2 linked regions of the Danio rerio genome follow. The protein of the gene in region 1 purifies or fractionates together with the protein of each later gene. This does not show direct contact. Links are inferred from orthologs where the notes say so. Each region holds a gene or a part of one and is shown in the gene's direction. Other genes may lie near its edges. The genes, in order: ift27 and ift57.

The links.
Region 2: the proteins of ift27 (region 1) and ift57 purify together in Homo sapiens (co-immunoprecipitation; 3 studies listed by BioGRID and IntAct, with this or other methods). This does not show direct contact. The link is inferred for Danio rerio from reciprocal best matches to the Homo sapiens genes IFT27 and IFT57.

Annotation. Positions count from the first base shown.
Region 1 is NC_133181.1:488,467-492,828, forward strand, and holds ift27 (intraflagellar transport protein 27 homolog), read left to right. Parts: upstream 1-1,427; 5' UTR 1,428-1,514; coding exon 1,515-1,548; intron 1,549-1,643; coding exon 1,644-1,723; intron 1,724-2,422; coding exon 2,423-2,482; intron 2,483-2,576; coding exon 2,577-2,636; intron 2,637-2,722; coding exon 2,723-2,840; intron 2,841-3,028; coding exon 3,029-3,138; intron 3,139-3,663; coding exon 3,664-3,762; 3' UTR 3,763-3,852; downstream 3,853-4,362. Other genes in the region: syngr1b (synaptogyrin-1), read right to left, coding at 73-153. UniProt on the Homo sapiens protein: Small GTPase-like component of the intraflagellar transport (IFT) complex B that promotes the exit of the BBSome complex from cilia via its interaction with ARL6. Not involved in entry of the BBSome complex into cilium. Prevents aggregation of GTP-free ARL6.
Region 2 is NC_133177.1:45,211,910-45,216,472, forward strand, and holds the start of ift57 (intraflagellar transport protein 57 homolog), read left to right. Parts: upstream 1-1,660; 5' UTR 1,661-1,798; coding exon 1,799-1,935; intron 1,936-3,215; coding exon 3,216-3,390; intron 3,391-3,478; coding exon 3,479-3,597; intron 3,598-4,563. UniProt on the Homo sapiens protein: Required for the formation of cilia. Plays an indirect role in sonic hedgehog signaling, cilia being required for all activity of the hedgehog pathway.

The DNA of each region.
Region 1 (4,362 bases):
TCTGAGCATGTGCAGAACCTCACACACAGAGAGAGAGAGAGAGAGAGAGAGAGATGTTGACCGCTACTGTACCCAGCACAGGATCCGGAGGCCGGTGTGCGGCTGCTGGATGAAAGTGAGAAGCTCAAAGGATCCGATGCTCTGCTGCTGCATCCCGTCAAACACACACACACAGACGCACACACTCACACTCACACAGATGTCTCTCTCTCTCTCTCTCTCTCTCTCTCTCTCTCTCTCTCTCTTCGTGCGTGCATGCTCCGAGATTCAGAATCGAGTCAGTTCAGAGTCGATTCAGTGAGTGAACAAACATCTACATGTTTTTATTTTATTGAATATATAGCTAGTTAATGTACAACAACTTGACACTAGAAAAGTAAAGTTCGTAGACCAACTTCATGGCGGCTTGAGAAAGTTAATCTGAACGTTTGAAGTAGCCTAGTTTAACGGTTTAAAATAAAGAAGTTTAAAAGAGTTGATACAAGTAGGCTGATAAGTGGGTTGCTAAGGTGTGCTTGGGTGTTTAAATGTGGTGTTCTGAGTAGTTGCTAAGCCATTGCTAGGGTGTTCTGAGTGGTTGCTTGGCGGTTGTTAAGGTGTTGCTAGGTTGTTGCTAGTGTGTTCTGAGTGATTACTGAAGTATTGCTAGGCCATTGCTATGGTGTTCTGAGGGGTTACTAAGGTATTGCTAGTTGGTTGCTAGGGTGTTCTGAGTAGCAAGAATCACCCAGGCGTTGCAGTCATTGGTTTGGACTTTGTGGGAAACTGGAGTATATGGCGGAAACCCACGCAAATGCAGGGAGAACATGCAAACTCCACAGAGAAACACTAACTGACCCCGCTGAGGCTTGAACCAGTGACCTTCTTGCTGTGAGGTGACAGCACTACCTACTTCACCACTGCGTCGCCTTTAATGCATATCATAATAATTATTTAACAAAGTAGGCATGCAAAAAATAATGATAAGTGTAAACTATTAAAGATATATACTTATATCAACTCCTAAAATAGCCCAGAATGATGATTATTGTCAGTGAGCAGGCAGGAGCTGATCACACATACAGCACGTCATGTTTGTGTAATTGGATTGAATAAATACAGTGACGCTTGCTCTGCCTGTTCACTCTGCTGAATTAAACAGTGAGAGAGAGAGAGAGATATATATATATATATATATATATGAGCTCGCCCACGGCCTCTTATATAAATGATTAAGGGTGAATGAAGATATAAGCGCGGCCTCTAGCGGTGCATACGTAAAACAACAGTTGCGTCAACGTCAGAGTGACGTACAGCTCTGCGTCAGGCCGTCCAGCCAATCGCATTGCAAGAATCAGTGGCGTAGAGCGGCTCGACCAATAGCAGTGCTTTATTTCAGTTGCTAAGCGACGCTGTAGGTTCGGGTTGCCTTGACGGAGGAATAACGCAGATGCATTAAATCTGTAATAACACACACACGTAGACACACACTATTACCTCCATATTTAATCCAACAGTAATCAATATTCAGCTTCATGGTGAAACTCAGAGCGCGGTGTGTGGTTGTGGGTAAGTGTGTTATGCAGATTATATACGCAATGAACATCACGTGTTATCAAGAGTGCGTGAACTTATTCTGTGTGTGTGTGTGTGTGTGTGTGTAGGAGACGCTGCTGTAGGCAAGAGCACACTGTGTCAGATGTTTTGCAGTGATGGAGCTGTGTATCAGAAGAACTACACTATGGTGAACACAACACACACTCACAGACACACACAACAAAACAACAAGAACACACAGAGTCAGACACACCGAGCTAATGCACAAAACAACACACACACACACACACACACACACACACACACACACACACACACAGAATCAGACACACCAAGCTAGTGCATAAAACAATACACACACAAAACTACAGATACACAACAATACACAACACAGACATACACAAAACAGCACAACACACACACACAAACACACACACACACCAACACAGCAATACACAAAAACACAAAACAACACACAAACAAAAAAACACTCACACACACACACCAACACACAAAACACACACAACAACACGCACACAAAACAACACAAACAAAACAACACAACACACATACATCAATACACAAAAACGCGCACAACAATACACACAAAACAACACACACACATCAATACACACAAAACAACACACACACACACACACATCAATACACAAAAACACACACAAAGCAACACACAAACAACACAACACACACCAACATGTCAATACACAAAACACACACAATGATACACACATAGACGGCACACATAAAACAGACACACACAACAATACACAACATACAGTGGGGTTTAAATAATAGCTTCATCAATTATAAATGGTAACGTAATATATCACGTGTGTGTGTGTGTGTGTGTGTGTGTGTTTTACAGAATGTTGGCGTGGAGTTACTGGAGAAAACAGTCCCTATCCCAGACACCAGTGACTCTGTGGTATGAACACACACACACACACACACACCATACCTGCTTACAGATCAATCAGTTGATTAATAAGCGCACGTGCGTGCGTGTGTGTGTGTGTTAGGAGTTGTTCATCTATGATTCTGCTGGACGGGAGCTGTTTTCAGACGCCTGTGAGAATGTGGTGAGTTTTAAAACACATCAAACACACACACACACACACACATGACCTGCGGTATGTGTCTCATGATGTGTGTGTGTGTGTGTCAGTGGAGTCAGCCGTCAGTTGTGTGTGTGGTGTTTGACGTCACCAGTGAAGCTTCCTTCAACAACTGCAGCCGCTGGATCGACAGAGTCCAAACACACAGTCACGGACTACACACACCAGGTACAGGTCTATCACACACACACACACACACACACACACACACACACACACACACACACACACACACACACACACACACACACAGAGAACACAATATTCCTCATCTTCCAATCTTACAGTGTGTGTGCGCATATGTGTGTTTGAATGTGTATGCGTGCATTCGTGTGTGTGTGTGTGTGTGTGTGCAGGTGTACTGGTGGGCAATAAGTGTGACCTGACCTCCAGGCGTGAGGTGGACGCTGCTGCAGCTCAAGCCTTCGCTCAGACACACACACTGCAGTATCACGAGACGAGTGCGGTGGGTCACACACACACCTTCATCATCATCATCAGCAATGCAGTGTGGCTGACAATGCTGTGTGTGTGTGTTTATGCGTGTGTGTGTATGCATTTTTATGCATGTGTTGGATGTGTGTATGCATGTTTTTGTTTTTGTGTATGTATATGTGTGTGTGTGTGTGTGTGTGTGTGTTGTTATGCTTGTTTTTGTGTGCGTTTAGATGTTTGTGTGTATGAATGTGTTTGCATGTATACGTGTGTGTGTGCTGGTGTGTATGCATGTCTGTATCCATCTGTGTGCGTGTTTGTGTGTATGCATGTGTTTGTTTGTGTGTGTTTGTGTGATATGTGTATGCATGTTTTTGTGTGTATTTGTGTGTGTTTGTGTGTATGCATGTGTTTTCATGTATGTGTGTGTGTGCTGGTGTGTGTGTGTGTGTGTGTGTGTTCGTCTGTTGTTTGTTTTTATTTATGCTTGTTTTGTGTGTGTGTGTGTGTGTGTGTGTGTTTGTGTTTATGCATTTGTCTGTGTGTGTGTGTGCAGAAGGAGATTGGCCACTATGAAGCTCCGTTCCTCAGTCTGGCTGCAGCGTTTCACTCCCTCTATCAGGAGCAGAAGAACAGCATACTGAGCCTCATCTGACACCAGCGCCATCTTCATCATCATCATCATCATCATCTGTGTACATATGAGCATGTCTGTTCTCAATCAAATAAAGCTTTCTATAAATCTAAAAAAATGCCTTCAGTGTGATGATTAAACACACACACACACACACACACACACACGTGCGCACACACACTGCACTTCACATCTTCACACTACTTCATTCTGCCTGATTCAGGAGCATTTGTGCCACAAAGTCTCCCCGAGTGTGAATGCATTCAATATCAAGTCCCCACTGGGATATAAAAGCTTGTACACACTTACACACACAGTTCCTCTGACGGCCAGCAGAGGGTGCTGGTTTAATCTTCATGCTGCATATCTCCATCGTGACGCTGATCTGAGGACAGTCTGATATAGACATGGTTCGTTCAGCTCTAGATAAATGTAGCGTAATCTGGAGACTAATTCAATTCAGGATCATCAACCAACAGAAATAAATCCACGCACTGGTGTTACCCATGATGACTTTATTGACTTCTGATTTGCTCTTTTGTTTCTCGTCTTCTTGACTCAAGAAGTCTGCTCGTGTGGCTTATTAACAGATGTATGTATCTTCATATGTTTATATATACT
Region 2 (4,563 bases), on another chromosome or scaffold:
GCTCGCACCAACATCATAGAGACAGAGACGGGCAGAGTGAAAGAAAGATTGACCCATCAGCCAAAAAAAGATCTCTTGGAATTAATCTCAACAGCTGAGCGGCTCTGCCCAACACATAGAGACCTAACACGAGGAACACACTGCTGCACAGTTTATCTAGGGACAACAGAATACAATAATGTGTTAAATACAATTCATCATTCAAACAGCTTTTCTCATTCAGAAAATAAATATGGGAGAAAATGTGTAAAATTATAAAACAGTGTTCAAAAGGTTTTTTAGGTTTTATCTTAATATTGAGCAAGAGCATTAATCAAAAAGTGACAATAAAGGGTTTATTATTGTGACATAAAATATCCTTATAGTAAATGCAGTACTTTTGTAAATTCAAGTCCATCAAAGAATCCTGAAAAAGTATTATGAATTGTAATATTTTAATATTACTTATTTGCTGTAAATAATACAACTTTGGTGAGCACTAGGCATGGGCCGGTATAAGATTATGTTGATATGATAACCTTGGATAAAAATATTGTGATTACTGCTCTAAAATATATTCTTTTTAAATGTCTTAGTAAAAAAAAAAAAATTTCCCCCTTTCAATACAATATATTTTTTATTTTGAGAACAATTTAAAATATTGTGGGACTGTAAACATGTCAGGCTAAATAAATGAAATGAATGGACTTCTCTTGTCTTCATTAGTTTCAAAAACACTGATTTATTTACGATTTCGAACAGCATGTTTGGATATCTATTCTGCTAAAGATACTGTTGTCTTAAAAAAAATAATAATAATAAAAATTGAATAAAACAATCCTCCATATACCGAAGGAACAGTATTGCAGAAAATTCTGCCTTGACTTTTTCAAAGCAGTTATCATTCATTGTCTAGTGAGCACAACCGACTTAAAAGACTCAAAAGACTGAAGATTTTTCATATAATAATAAGTAACCACATTTATAGCATAAAGAAAAAAAATAAACATAATTAGATCAGCACAGATAACCTTAAACCATAACATTGACTATAAATGACTTTCATGTGTCAGACATTGAGTTGTGTTGAAAACCAAAATACTTAAAAATCACCGTTTAAACTTGTAAAAACCAAAATAATTACTCTCTGGTTTTTGTAACATAACGTATTTTATGCCCTTACAATGGTTTTACTATACATAAAACAATAAACAGAGGTAATTTACTGTGACTAAACATAACAGTTCTGGCAACTAGAAATCAACCATGGTTTGTACTTTGAAAGTGTGGTGATGATAATAATTATTTGTTTTCCATTCTTATTGTTAACACACACGCATTTATTATTAATTATGTTATTAATAAAGAGTCAGTTTCAAAGAACCAGCAAGAAAAGCAACATATCTTTTCGATTGGAGTAACGTTAGATATGGAGTCGTTTCTTCTCCGCTCCAGCGTGTGGCAGCACTGTCAGACTACACACGGTAACATTATAAAACTCTTAGCCAAAATCAGATTTCGGCTCGCTGCTTTTTTTCTATTCAATAATTATGCATAGTCATTGATTATTGATTATTTATAGCTTTCTGTTTATTATCTGTGACTATTCAGTAGATACTTTTACTTTGTTTGCTGTCATGGCCGTCGCTGTGTGTGACGTCATTCCTGACGACAGTAACTACAACATCCCGAATCCGCTGCTGCAGAATAGCCGTGTATATATCTGTCTGTATTCGTACCTGCAGTGTTAATAAAAGCTTTAAACTAATTTCCCTTTGCGAGTAAAGATTGTTAAATGTGAAAAGAGAAAGAGAGAGGGATGGCGGAGGAGGAAGAGCGCGGTCCGGGCTCTGTCTATCAGATGTTCGTGTTGATGGAGGATCTGCTGGATAAACTGAAGGTTCTCGATTATGAGCAGCACGTTCTGGACAAACACAACATCAAACCTCTGTCCAGGTAAGAGAGACTCGGAATGTGGATTAGAAAGTATTTGATGTAAATAGCATTACAGTTAAAGTGAAATCTCTCATCATGAATTTAGTATCGGGTTTTACAAACCTGGATGAGTTTTTTTCTTCGGTTGGACATATAAGATAACATTTTGGACAACATTGGTAAACGAGTAAAGTTAGTTTCTGGTCCCCATTCACTTTTATAATATGGAACCTGTAAGAAAATGAACGTTGCAAAGTAGATAGAGTTACTTTTTAGCCGTCAGTTTATAGTAAAATCCACTTATCATATATTATCATAAAATGAAAATTCTGTCAACATTTACTAGAATGATGGAAACTATATTGACAAAAATATTATCAGTCAGTGGCTGTTGCTTTCCAACATTTTTTATAATATCTTCTTTTGTGTTCACACGTTTAAGACCTTTAAATTAATATAAGTTTAATAGTAGAATAAGAACAGAAATAGCCGTTGCTATTTTTATTTGTTGTACACACAAAAGCATCTCTCGCAGATTGATAAAATTCTGATTGAACCACTGGAGGCGTATTTCTGTTTTAAGGATGTTTTTTGTTATTTTTCTGGATGACTCAGAACCATTGCTGTCTATGGAAGATGAGAGAGCTCTCAGATTTAATCTAAAATATCTTATGTTGTATTCTGAAGAGGAACTAAGGTCTCTAACATGTCAGGATAATATACTTTTGAACAATGTTTGAAGAAGTTGATATCAAAGAGACTGCGTGTTATAACGTAGACATCAGAAAAAGTAAATAAGAACATCAGAGTGAGTACAGTGCTCAGTGAGTACACCACATTTTGAAAATGTATATATCTTCAGTGAATATAGGCAATGTGTTTTGGTGCATTTAAACAAAGCAGATTTATTAAACAGATATATTTATATAAATAATATTTTGCTCACCAAACATATTTATAAACTGAAAGATAATACAATTAAATTCAAGCAAAATATTACAAAATTTCAACTAAATTTTATTTTCTTTTTCTTGTTTTTGCTTTTTAAAAATTGTATTTAATATTTTTCTATAACATATACATTTGGTTGTACTAGTTTTATTTAGTTACATAAGTTCTAGATTTGGCTTCAGTACTGACTAATCTAATGTATATGCACAAATATAATACTGTATAGCTTCCTATTCAAAATATAAATTTAAAAGATAGATTTGTGAGGGGTGTACTTATACATGCTGAGCACTGGAAATAATGACTGATTTTTCATTTCAACTTTTGCCTTAATACTCTGTATTTTTCAGACATTATTTTGTCTCCAGCCCTCATGTGTTGTCAAATCCCGGTGAGCAGTTCTATATGTTCAGTGTAATTGCTGCCTGGTTGATTACATTATGCGGGCGACCGTTCGACACACCACAGGAGTATGACGACCCCAACGCCACAGTCTCCAACATCCTGTCTGAACTTCGAACCCTGGTGAGGCGATAACACTGATTACACCCTCACAAATGTGTATGGGTGTATGCATTTAGGTTTATGATTATCATCTGTATGTGATTTGTAGGGAGGCCAGGTTGATTTCCCCCCATCTAAGCTGAAGACTGGGTCTGGAGAGCATGTCTGTTATGTTCTAGACCAGCTGGTAGAAAAGGCACTAAAGAGTAAAGGTTTTGCCTGGAACAGGTACACATATATTTAACAGCACACACTATGGGCAGGGGCGGGTTTAGCGAATCGGGGACCCTAGGCAACTTCAGCCATGGGGCCCAAGTCCTGATGCACCTTTTCTACTTTTTTTTATTTAAATGTATTTATTTTCTGTAACTCAATCTTCTTTTTTTATGGTTTATCTTAATGCAATCTTTACAACCTTTACATACGATAACAAATATATATATATATATATATATATATATATATATATATATATATATATATATATATATATATATATATATATATATATATATATATATATATATATATATATAATCATAGATTTACTGCTGGACTGCTCCATGATAGGGGAGCTGGATATTTTGTTTCATAATATTAATATTACAAAACATTACATTATTAAAATAATATAAGATTTTACTGTATATTAAATAATATTTAATTATGTACAAAATATCTCACTATACAAAATATGATAGAAATTATGTTTTATATATAGTTTATAAGTATAATCTATACTTCTAGATATTTATTGGGGCCCTAAGCGGCCACTTACCTTGCTTATTGGTTAAATCCGCCCCTACTATGGGCTTGTTTACACTTGGTCACTTCATGCGTTTTTGCTGACTGCATAGCTATCTGATTTGTTCAAATAGTGCCATGTACATTTGACCACATGAATGCATCTTCGCTAAATTAATATGATTCCTTGGATATCTTCAAATCTGCTCTATATACAAATTTAACTAGTTTATGTTGACTAAAGCATCTGATACATTTTATTTTATTTAAATAGTATTCGCTTTTACACAAATCTAATCTATATTTTTGATTCTGGATACAAATGCTTTTATATGTAGGCTCCTGGAGGCTTTGTGTTTGAAACATCCTCATAATAATAAAAAATAAAAAAATTGCATGAAGTGACAAAGTTTAAACCACACATATGAGCTTACAACAGGTTGAGATCAT